3 linked regions of the Macaca fascicularis genome follow. The protein of the gene in region 2 binds, or shares a complex with, the protein of the main gene of each other region. Links are inferred from orthologs where the notes say so. Each region holds a gene or a part of one and is shown on either strand. Other genes may lie near its edges. The genes, in order: CFP, CFB and CFD.

Region 1 (3,327 bases), on a different chromosome or scaffold from region 2:
CCCGCCTCGCCGAGCTATTTGTCGCTGGTAATTGCGGCATTGGAGCTAGGCTGTCGGGAGTGGGTGGGTGCAGGTGCTCGGGCGGCAGAGTGCCAGCCTCGGCCACGCCTCTGCCGTTCATCCTCCACAGACGCGGAGTCGGAGTCGGCCAGCAGAGGCTCCTCTGAGGCTCCAGCTGGTGGGAATCTAGGGAGGTCCAGGAGGCGGGGAGACAACGAACAAGCACGCCTGCCAATCAAGAAGTGCCTGCCAAGACAAGTAGCCAATCAGGGAATTCGTAACGCGGAGCTCTGCAGAGGAACGTGCCGGGCGGCCCTGGAGCACTAAGGGGGGCTGCGCAGGGCCCAGACACTGGGGTTATGGCAGCGGCGGGGAGAGGCTGGGGCTGCACACTCGCTTTCACTCCTGCCAACCTGCGACCACAGTGGAAGATACTGTTGTCCGCAACAGACTGCTGTGTCTTGGCCCGTGCTGTGCCCTTTGCCCTGTGGGATGCTATCACCCTACTTTTGGGGAAGGGGATGGGTTGTTTTTCCTCCTTTAAGGAATCGTAGACGAGCTCGAAGAGGTTAGTTTATTGAGGTTTGGAAGGTCAGGGTGCTCAGAGTGGAGGAGAGAGGTGTTAGAGTTTCTCTTCCTCAGGGTCTTTGCAAGCAGGCACGTGTAGACATGGTCGTTTCTCCTCCACCACCAGCTTCTGCCCCTGTAGCTCCTCACACCGTGGCAGCGGTCTCCCCCAGAAGGTCACGTTCTTCTCGCCCTGACCTTCGACCATGGAAACGGTGGGCCTGAGGCATTAGGGGTGGGAAGGAACGGAAGGGAGAAGCTCAGGGAAGGCAAGAATGCATTCAGATCTTATTGAGCGCCTGCTATGTGCCAAATGCTACCTTTTGTTTGTTTTATCTGTTTTCTTTTTTTTGAGACAGGGTCTCATTCTGTTGCCCAGGCTGTGCAGTGGCACAGTCATAGCTCACTGCAGCCTCAATCTCCTGGGCTCAAGTGATGCTTTTGCCTCAGCCTCCCAAAGTGTCGCTGGGATTACAGGCGTGAGCCACTGTGCCTGGCCTCCCAACATTACTTTTTAGCTATGGGATATTGGGCAATTTCTTTAGCTTCCCTGTGCCTCAGTTTCCCTCATCTGCAAATGAGAATGGTAGGAATAGTAATATTAATACTCACCTCACGGGGCCGAGTGAGGATAAATGAGTTAATTCAGGTAAAGTGCTCAGAGCAGTGCCTTACACACAGCAAGTGCTCAATAAATGCTGGTGAATGTTACTTGTTGGCATGAGCTACTTTCTCTTACGTCCAAAATATATATCCTTTATATCTCTTTCCACCGCCTCTAGGAAAAAACCCAATGCCTTGTCCTGACATTCAAGGCCTTATCATTGGGCCCAAATCCCTGCCCCAAGCCAATCTCTCTCTGTCTTTCTCCTCCACTTTATTCAAGCTCAGTCCATGTCCAGAAAGGTCTTTACCTGGGTTGTTTCTCCCACTAGGCAAGCCCTCCATTCACTCCCATCCCAGTTTTCTCCATTGCTTCTTCCTCCGCTCAGTCTCTCACTCACTCAAGTCCTTTGTGCCTCCATTCAACACCTCTAATTCATCTTCAGGCCCCACTCTAACCCCCCCAGCTGGGAGATCTCTTCCCAGATGGCAGCCCTTCCACGAGCTGGGAATAGTCCACTTAATCTAGTAGCTTGATGTATGTGGAAGGAAGAAAAGGGATGACCGTTTTAACCCTCTGGCACCTGGATGTTAAATGGATGAACATTTAACACCTGGGCCCTTCTGGCACCTGGAAACACTTATGGCAGCTAATCACCTAGCTCCAAGTCTTTGTTCACAGTCTTGATGCCAGGAACGCCTTTCCCAACCCCTACCTTCCCTGGGAGGCCCAATCAGCTTCCTGGACCTAGGTTGAGGTGGCAGCCCCTGTTGCATGCACCAGCTGTTCCTCATATGCCTCCTGTCAGGGGCCTGCTCAGCTGGGTCCCTTGGAGGATCCACAGGATCTGGGCTGTGTGTATCTGCAACTGTTGCTGAAAAAGCCTTGGAGTGCCTTAGGGCAGTGAGATGCTGACAAAGTGGATGGAGGCATGAGTGACTGTGGGAGCCAGGCAGTGAATGGAGGCCTGAGTGGCGGCAGCTAAAAGCATGAGTAACTAAAGGTTGGAGTCAATGACACATGAAGGACTAAGTGAATGGGAGAGTGGATGAGTGACTGAACGAGTGACTGAGGGGCACAGAGGCTACAAATTCTCCCCCAAGAGCTTCTTTCTCATCTTCTTTCATTTCTCCCCACTTCCTGCAGCTGGGAGGTGGCACTCGGCAAGGCAGATACCTTAGATTCAGCAGTGGAAGCCCTGGTTTCCAGGGGTAGCTGACTCTCCCGCCTGTAATATCATGACCCCCTCCCAGGCATACTTTGCCCTCTCACTCACGGGTACTTGGGGAGCAAGGGTGTGCAGAGGCGCTGGCGGGCACGGGTAGGATTAGGTCCACAGGGGGGCATGCACAGCCCCCAGGTACTCCACTCTGACCATGATCCTTTCACTGCAATGAGGGGTAGGGGTCACAGAGTCAGAACTGGAGGTCTTGGTGGGAAGGTGAGAGGGAGGCTGCAGAGACGTGAGGTGCAAAGCAGAGAGTTGGAAACCCCTTATCCTGCATGGGCCACCCCACCCTCAGAGCACAGTCTGGGGGACACTCACAGGGGCAGTGTTGGATGCTGTAGCAGTGCCGAATATCCTGTTGTTGCCCGGTACATCGATGTCCGTCAAACTTGCGGCCCTTGCAGGTCCTCCAGCGTGACTGCTGGCCCGGGATTTCTTCACAGCTGATGGACTTCATGTTCCGGCGGACACAGGTGCTCCACTGTCCCCACAAGTCCCACTCTCCATCCACTGCAGAGACAGGGCAAGAGGAGATTGGAACAAAGCAGGGAATCAGCAAGAGGTTCAGAGGAAGAAATGAGGGCGGTAGGAGGGAGTAGAGGTGATCAGATGTGCGAATGGGGGATCGGGGTGGAAACAAGGTATCAGGGCCAGGAAAGGAGGAATCAGAGACAGGAGCAAGGCCTCAGCAGCAGGAACTGGGCAGCAGAGAAGGGCATGGGGGGCTTAGGCATGCAAATCGTGAACTCTGAGATGCTGACCAGGGCAGGGCACGGCTGTGTTGCAGATGTGGGTCCGGGTGGCATCACCAGCACAGGAGGGGCCTCCATGCTGGGGCACAGGGCGATTGCACGTCCGTCGTTCTATGGTCTGGCCCAGGCCACAGGTCACAGGGCAGGGGCTCACAGGGCCCCAAGGCCCCCAGCCC
Region 2 (3,620 bases):
GGCCCTGAATGTGACTCGTAACTGGCTGTTCATCTCTCCTGTGACCCTTCATAAAGAATTATTCCTAAAGCCCTGTGATCAACTACCTCTAACCCTTCCTCAACTTACTCACCCTGCCACGTGTATCACTGCCTCTAGCCAATTTATCTTATCTCCTACCCTCATGGTCCCGTCTCTTCTGCAGGATTGCACAACATGGGCGGGGACCCAATTACTGTCATTGATGAGATCCGGGACTTGTTATACATCGGCAAGGATCGTAAAAACCCGAGGGAGGATTATCTGGGTGAGTAACCTGCCTAGGACCCAGCACCCTACTTCCTCAGGGCTTGGACCGTCATCCTTCCTTTTTCTCCCTCAGATGTCTATGTGTTTGGGGTTGGACCTTTGGTGGACCAAGTGAACATCAATGCTTTGGCTTCCAAGAAAGACAATGAGCAACATGTGTTCAAAGTCAAGGATATGGAAAACCTGGAAGACGTTTTCTTCCAAATGATTGGTAGGCAGACACAAGGGAATCAAGAACGCAACTCTCCTCAGCTTCCCCTGAAATAATTCATTCTTCCTCTACCCCTGAAGCTCTAGTTGCCTGGAAAGCCTTCTTCATTCCTCCTTCTCTACCTCAGTATCACTATTCTTGTTTCCTGGCACTGTTTGCTTCTTAACCTTAGAATCACAGAGCTCTAGGCACTTCAGAGATCTTTCTATTGTCCTACATTTGACACATGTGGAAACAAAGGCCAAAGGAGGTCAAGGGGCAGCAAGCTAGCAACAGGGCTGGGCTTGAAAACAGCCAGGCCTCTGATAGCTTGATCCCAAGTTCTTTCCCTTTTCACTCCACCACAGCAGTTTTCTCCTAACACGAGGAAACAAATACCTGTGGCCTTTCCCTTTCTCCTTTTGGGCCTCTGCCCCCCACAGACTTCTACCCAAAGGCTGCTGCCGTTTGGGAATGAAGTGTTCCAAGTTTTCAGCACATTCTCCTTCTCTGCCAGATGAAAGCCAGTCTCTGAGTCTCTGTGGCATGGTTTGGGAACACAGCGAGGGTACCGATTACCACAAGCAACCATGGCAGGCCAAGATCTCAGTCACTGTAAGCACAGAATCCCAGTAGTGAGGACTTGGGGGAGGTGAGGTCAAGGTGAAATGGGAGTAGGGGAAGGGCAAAATGGCCGTAAGAGATGGTGGTTTGTGAAAGTTGAGTTTTCCCTTTCTACTGTTCTGTTCCCAGCGCCCTTCGAAGGGACATGAGAGCTGTATGGGGGCTGTGGTGTCTGAGTACTTTGTGCTGACAGCAGCACATTGTTTTACTGTGGACGACAAGGAACACTCGATCAAGGTCAGCGTGGGTAAGGATGCAACTGAAGGTCCCGGGCTGCACCTACGCCCTCCAGGCAACACCTCCCACTTTCTACAGATCCCACACTCCACTCATCTGCAATGCAGCCCCATCCCTTGCACCCCAGACCAGTCAGGGATGGGGAAGACTTGAAGTTAGGAATGACATGGGGCCAGAGGCAAGAAGCTGCCCACAAAGAGGTGGTACCTATTCTCCTACTTCAAGGGAAGAAGCGGGACCTGGAGATAGAAAAAGTCCTATTTCACCCCGACTACAACATTAGCGGGAAAAAAGAAGCAGGAATTCCTGAATTTTATGACTATGACGTTGCCCTGATCAAGCTCAAGAATAAGTTGAATTATGACCCGACTATCAGGTGAGAGCATCCAGATCCCTGAGGAAAGGCTGGGAAAGGCTGGAGGACTGGGGTGAGGAGCAGGCCTAGTTTGCTGTTCTTTCTCCATCCTTTATAGGCCCATTTGTCTCCCCTGCACCGAGGGAACAACTCGAGCTTTGAGGCTTCCTCCAACTACCACTTGCCAGCAACAGAGTAAGACATACTAGGGGGGAGGATAAGGATGAGATCCCGAGACAAGTGAGGCATGAGAGGGAGATGCAATAGGAAGAGACGATGCCTGGCCCAGAACCTAGCACTAGGAAGGGCTTAGGGGACATCTGCTGAGTGACAAAGTCAATAGGGAGATGACAGTGGTGGGAGCAGCTGAAGTGATGCAGTCTATTTGTCCAGAGGAAGAGCTGCTCCCTGCACAGGATATCAAAGCTCTGTTTGTGTCTGAGGAGGAGAAGAAGCTGACTCGGAAGGAGGTCTACATCAAGAATGGGGATAAGGTGAGAAATGGGCATCCTAAGGAGGCACTCTAGGCCCTAATCCTTCCTAAGCCACCTCTGTTCATTACCTTTCTCCATGCTTCCCACCTCCCCTACAGAAAGGCAGCTGTGAGAGAGATGCTCAATATGCCCCAGGCTATGACAAAGTCAAGGACATCTCCGAGGTGGTCACCCCTCGGTTCCTTTGTACTGGAGGAGTGAGTCCCTATGCTGACCCCAATACTTGCAGAGGTGAGAGAACGCTCTCTGGTTGTGCTCCAAGTGCCCGAGGGCCAAGAGTCCTTTTCCCTACAGCTTCTCCTCTCCTTGCAGGTGATTCTGGCGGCCCCTTGATAGTTCACAAGAGAAGTCGTTTTATTCAAGTGAGTCCTCCCTTTCCTATCTGGGGAGATGCCAAGTGGTCAGCATGGGCCCCAAAGCAGGAAAGCACAATGCATGTGGCTAGTAATTCGAGGTGGGCAGAGCCTGCCTCACTTTAGGACTGCATGTCTGGCCTGTGTGTGTCAAGAATGAGGCTGAGCTGGGTCCCTAGCCTGATTCCTTTAGGTCAGCTAAGACACAATCAGGAACAGTCATGCTTCCAGGATTAGGAATTCTATGAATGATCCATGGCACCCCACTGCCTCTGCAGGTTGGTGTCATCAGCTGGGGAGTAGTGGATGTCTGCAAAAACCAGAAGCGGCAAAAGCAGGTACCTGCTCACGCCCGAGACTTTCACGTCAACCTCTTCCAAGTGCTGCCCTGGCTGAAGGAGAAACTCCAAGATGAGGATTTGGGTTTTCTATAAGGGGTTTCCTGCTGGACAGGGGCGCGGGATTGAATTAAAACAGCTGCGACAACACTTGTGTTCCAGATCCTTTTGGGGCAAGGGAGTGGGGAACGGGCACTGGCCATGTTGTTACACTGAGATCAAACCTGACACCCATTTTTAAAGGCTTAACCCCAATCCCAAGTGCTGAAAAACCAGAGGCTGAGGGAGATATGTAAGCTTCCACCTCAGTGTTTTACTGAGACCAGCATTGGGGCATTTGAGGCACAAGGAATCCAGCTCTGTTCCCTAGAAGCCATCCACAAGGTTTTCCTTGTAGACGTCATCACTGTAGACAATCTGGGTCCTCTTGTCCCGGTGGCAACCCTTAGGGCTGTTCTGGACAGCTAGGGAGGGAGGAGAGGAACAGTTAAGGTCTAAAGGAGATCATAGATCAGACCCTGAGGCTGACTCCTGACCACCTCAGTCCTGGCTGCTGGCCCCTGGAAACCCAGTTTCCACGCTGCCCTCTGGTGGCCAGGATGGCCTGTCTTCCTTAGCTCCTTTGTGCCAACCCATGGCCAAGGAGAGTGTAAGTGGACATTTTGATGAATGTTTTGTTCTTAGAAAAATCCCAAATGTCATTGTTGAGATATATGAATGATATTAACCCACTACTTATAG
Region 3 (4,157 bases), on a different chromosome or scaffold from region 2:
ACTGGTCAATATCCCCTGCCACGCCCATCGCATAGGCCGCACCTACAAGCCACGCCCCTCTATGCCCGCCCCCAGCTCCTGGCCACACCCCCTCTGGCCTCAATCTCACCACGTGTTCCCCCTACCCCACCCCACTCCAGGCCCTTTCCAGGATGGGGTCCCACACCTCATCCCTGCTCTTCCAGGCTTCGACTTACCGCAGATCCCACTTCTGCCCTAACCCGTCTCAGTGGCCACCTGCTCTGCTCAATCCCCACTCACCTCAGGCACGCCCCTTCCTTAGAGCCCCACCCAATCTTGGCCCTGGCTACCACGCAACCCTCGACTTGTCCTAGGCCTCGGCCCTGCTCAGGACCCCTTCTCTTCCCCGCCGCAGCAGGGATTCCACTCTGCACCAGCCCAGCCCCTTCAGAGGTTCCCGCCCCGTCCACCTGCCCCGCCCCGTCCACCTGCCCCGCCCCTTCCTCCAGGCCCCGCCCCTCATGCCCCACCCCGCTTCCTGGCCTCGCCCCCTTGTAGTCCCTCTGTTACTGGACTCCGCCCCCTCCTCGAGGCCCGCCCCCTATCCCAACCCTAACCCACAAGTCCTTCCACATCCCACCCGTTCCTGCCCATTTTGCCCGCCCTGACCTTTCTTCAGCCCCACCCTCTCCACAGGCCCTGCACCTTCTCCAGGCCCCGCCCCCACAGCCCCGCCTCATCCCACAGGCCCCGCCCCTCGTCCAGGCCCCGCCCACAGGCCGCCCTCATGCCCCGCCCCTTCGGGTCCCGCCCCTCCACGCGCCCCGCCCCTTGCCTGGGCCCCGTTCCTACTTGCCCCCCAGCTTCCCTTCCCCTCTTCGGGACCTGCCCCCGTCCTGCGGGCCCCGCGTTTCCTCCCAGGCCCTCCCGTTCCTCCTGAAGGCTCACTTTGCAGCTGTCCCGGCGGTTGCTCTCCGCGCACATCATACGCTGGGTGATGGCGCCGTCGTGGTGCGTGCGCCGGTTGCAGGTGGCGCGGTCCAGCACTGGCAAGAGCACGTGCTGCAGGCGGTCCGGGCGGCGGCCCGCGTGGCTGACTATGCCCCAGCCGGCCACGTCGCAGAGAGTGCCCGGCTCCACGTCGCGATCCACGCGCTGCCAGGGCAGGGGGCGCACAGCAGGGCCCAGCGTGGCCTTCTCGGACAGCTAGGGATGGAGGCGGACGTCAAGGTTGGGGTGCGGGGGTGCGAGGCCGGGGAGGATGCCGCGAGGCTCGGGGACACGGGAAGGGGGAGGTGGGCATCAGGGCAGGGGGAGAGGTGGGCATCAGGGCAGGGACGGGGGTCTCTGCAGCAGGAGAGATCTAGGCTAGACCCTGGGTGGGGGTGCAGGTGGGGGTGGGGTGGGTGCGAGCGTCCCCAGTGCAGCCGCAGAGGTCGAGGCTGGACCTGGGGTGGGGATGCAGGGGATGGGGGGGCTCCCAGTGCAGCCGCAGAGGTCGAGGCTGGACCCGGGGTGAGGGTGCGGGGGTTGTGGGGCGGGGTCCGCATGCAGCAGGAGAGGTCGAGGCTGGACCCTGGACCCGGGGCGGGGTGGAGTGAGGGTGGGCCGGGGGTCCCAGCGCCTCAGCAGGGACTGCGCTACACTGGGCCGACCTGCAGCAGGAGGAGGTCGTGGTCGATGGTGTCGGGCCGGCTGTCCGGGTGCGGCACTGCGCGGAGCACGTCGTACAGGCGCTTGGAGGGCTCCGGCTGCGACAGGGAGTGCGCGCCCAGGAGAACCTGCACCTTCCCGTCGGCCCTGGGGACCGGGCGGAGTCCGCGGTCGGTGCCAGCCGAGTCCCCCCACCCCACCTGGGCTCTTTCCCCGCGCGGCGCGGGCACTCACGCGTCCTCCAGGCAGTGCGCCGCGCTCAGCACCCACTGCTCGGCCACCAGGACGCCGCCGCACAGGTGCTCGCCGTTCACCTGCACCGACGCCATGTAGGGCCGCGCGTGGGCCTCGGCCTCTCTGCCGCCCAGGATCCGACCGCGGGGCTGCGCCGCTGTGGGTGGGCGGGCATGTGAGGGCCGCGGGGTGGACTCCACCCCCGGGCGAGGCCGCCTGGCGGGATCCCAGCTTTCACCCCCGCAGGCCGCTCCGCCGAAGAATCCCATCTCAGGTCGCTGTTTCCAGCACTTTGGGAAGCCGAAGGGGCAGTGGGGGCGGGGGGCGGGCAGATCACGAGGTCAGGAGTTCGAGACCAGCCTGGCCAATACGGTGAAACGCCCGTCACTACTATAAAAAGAAATACAAAAAATTAGCCGGTGTGGCCTATAATCCCAGTTACTCGGGAAACTGAGGCAGGAGAATCGCTTGAACCCGGGAGTCGGAGGTTGCAGTGAGCCGAGATCACACCACTGCACTCCAGCCCGGGCGACGGAGCCAGACTCCCTCTCAAAAAAAAAAAAAAAGAAAGAAAAGAAAGAATTCCATCTCCGTCTTGGGGCCCCTTGGCGTTGCAAACTCAGATATGCGTGGGCCAGAATGCCCCAGAGTGCGGAACCCACAGTGGGCCGGGGATGGGGGGCAGATCCCAGCTCCCCACCCTGGGCACAATGCCTTCCAGTTGGACATAAGAGAAATAGGGCTGAGCTAACCAGTGCCTAGGCAGAACCATTTTCCACACAGACATCAGACTCTGTCTGCAAGAAAAGCTGATTCCAGAAAGTGCCAATTTCCAAAAGAATCTTCTAGAATTTCTCAGCGTTCAGAGCCTTCCATTGGTGAGGAGAGACACCCCCTTCCTGCCCACCTGGAGGGGCTGGAGGATCGTCTGTGTGACCAAGGGGAGCACCTGGCCCACGCCCCTACACACCCCGCCCCTCACCCCAGGCCCAGGCCCCCTCACCGCAGGCGGCCACTCCCAGGAGGACCAGAACTGCCAGGTGCTCCCAGCTGTGCATGGTGAAGCCGCTGTGGCTGAGACACTGACCCAGGCGGGACCCTGGGGCTGCTTTTATAAGGGTGGAGGGGGCGGGAGGCTCCCAGGGGCCCTGTCCACGGGGTGGGCAGCGGCCCAGCTGGGGAAAGGGGAACCCGCCCGCCCAGCCTCCGCCCTCCCGGGGACTGGGTTACCTCCTGCCAGACTCACACCGGAGTCCACAAGTCGCTGAGAGACCCTCCGGCCTCTGTAAGCCTGACGGCCTGCTGGCCCTGGGTGGAGGGCAGTCCCTCAGATGGGTGGGAGGCAGAGAGGGGGACTGCACCCACCCCAGCCCCCTGGCCCCAACTTCACCAGACACAGAGTCTCCGAGCCTTGTTTCACAATCCTAGTTGGAGGCCTCAGCATGTAAACAACCCACTTCCTTGTCCTGCTACCCCCCACTTCTTCTCTTCCTCCTCCAAATTAGAGAGAAGGTCTGATGGGGATAGAAAGGTCACTTGACACCCTTGTTTCTGTCTCTGTGACCTCTGGGGCTTGACGTCCTGACAAATAGAATGTTGGAAAGGCCAAGGCAGAGGCAGCTGGGAAGACTGGCTACAAAGGACAGGAAAACCAAAACAAACTGGGTGGAGCCTGAATCATGAAAGTTATATGGAAAGTTCAGGGAGGCCACCTTCAGGTGTGGCTTGATCCAGGTGCCTGAAGAATATCCAGTGTCTGCCTCTGGCTTCTCCTTTCTTCTCTGATGGCGTCTCTCCTAACCAGGCTCCCCTGGTGTGCTTCCAGGGACCCCATACTCAACCCAGTGGCTCAATGGGCCCCTCCTAAAATTCTTCATCACTCCAGCCAAGTCTCAAGGTTGCCTTGGGTTGGCGGAGCCTGGATCACACGCCCCCTCCCAAACTGCTCACTGAGGGCAGGTTCTGATGAACACAGTCAGGGCTGGCCGGGCACAGTGGCTCCCACCTACCATCCTAGCACGTTGGGAAACAAGATAGGAGGATCTCGAGCCCAGGAATTCGATGCCAGCTTGGGGAACATGGTGAGACCCCCTCTCTACAAAAAAAATTAAAATAAAATACTTTTCAGAATCTGGGCCATGGGGCCTTCTGTGAAGTGGGGATTTGTGTGTGTTGTTTTTGTTTTATTACAGACAGGGTCCTGCTCTTTGTCCAGGCTCGAGTGCAGTGGTGCGATCATAGCTCCCTGCAGCCTCCTCGACCTCCCGGGCTCAACTGATCCTCCTACCTCAGCCTCCGGAAGGGCTGGG

What was found.
Region 1: the proteins of CFB (region 2) and CFP are in contact, whole or in part, in a crystal structure (PDB 7NOZ), measured with the Homo sapiens proteins. The link is inferred for Macaca fascicularis from reciprocal best matches to the Homo sapiens genes CFB and CFP. Residues at the interface, in NP_001701.2 of Homo sapiens: Glu54, Gln56, Ser78, Thr316, Tyr317, Leu349, Ser351, Met394; in NP_001138724.1 of Homo sapiens: Arg329, Arg330, Asn331, Lys333, Pro341, Met420, Val421.
Region 3: the proteins of CFB (region 2) and CFD are in contact, whole or in part, in a crystal structure (PDB 2XWB), measured with the Homo sapiens proteins. The link is inferred for Macaca fascicularis from reciprocal best matches to the Homo sapiens genes CFB and CFD. Residues at the interface, in NP_001701.2 of Homo sapiens: Glu298, Ala301, Ser302, Ala332, Asp333, Ile469, Asp470, Glu471, Ser472, Glu518, Tyr519, Lys585, Asp758, Glu759, Asp760; in NP_001919.2 of Homo sapiens: Asn157, His158, Ala159, Gly160, Arg161, Arg162, Arg182, Thr183, Asp186, Arg200, Val228, Cys229, Gly230, Asn231, Arg232, Lys233.

Annotation. Positions count from the first base shown.
Region 1 is NC_088395.1:47,723,793-47,727,119, forward strand, and holds the end of CFP (properdin), read right to left. Parts: coding exon 3,161-3,327; intron 2,910-3,160; coding exon 2,718-2,909; intron 2,560-2,717; coding exon 2,448-2,559; intron 789-2,447; coding exon 623-788; 3' UTR 561-622; downstream 1-560. UniProt on the Homo sapiens protein: A positive regulator of the alternate pathway (AP) of complement. It binds to and stabilizes the C3- and C5-convertase enzyme complexes. Inhibits CFI-CFH mediated degradation of Complement C3 beta chain (C3b).
Region 2 is NC_088378.1:139,756,026-139,759,645, reverse strand, and holds the end of CFB (complement factor B), read left to right. Parts: intron 1-184; coding exon 185-286; intron 287-361; coding exon 362-499; intron 500-995; coding exon 996-1,093; intron 1,094-1,231; coding exon 1,232-1,349; intron 1,350-1,564; coding exon 1,565-1,715; intron 1,716-1,812; coding exon 1,813-1,889; intron 1,890-2,087; coding exon 2,088-2,188; intron 2,189-2,286; coding exon 2,287-2,419; intron 2,420-2,500; coding exon 2,501-2,550; intron 2,551-2,819; coding exon 2,820-2,975; 3' UTR 2,976-3,029; downstream 3,030-3,620. Other genes in the region: NELFE (negative elongation factor E), read right to left, coding at 3,246-3,343.
Region 3 is NC_088393.1:1,424,233-1,428,389, reverse strand, and holds the start of CFD (complement factor D), read right to left. Parts: upstream 2,933-4,157; 5' UTR 2,907-2,932; coding exon 2,852-2,906; intron 2,006-2,851; coding exon 1,849-2,005; intron 1,762-1,848; coding exon 1,617-1,761; intron 1,168-1,616; coding exon 910-1,167; intron 1-909.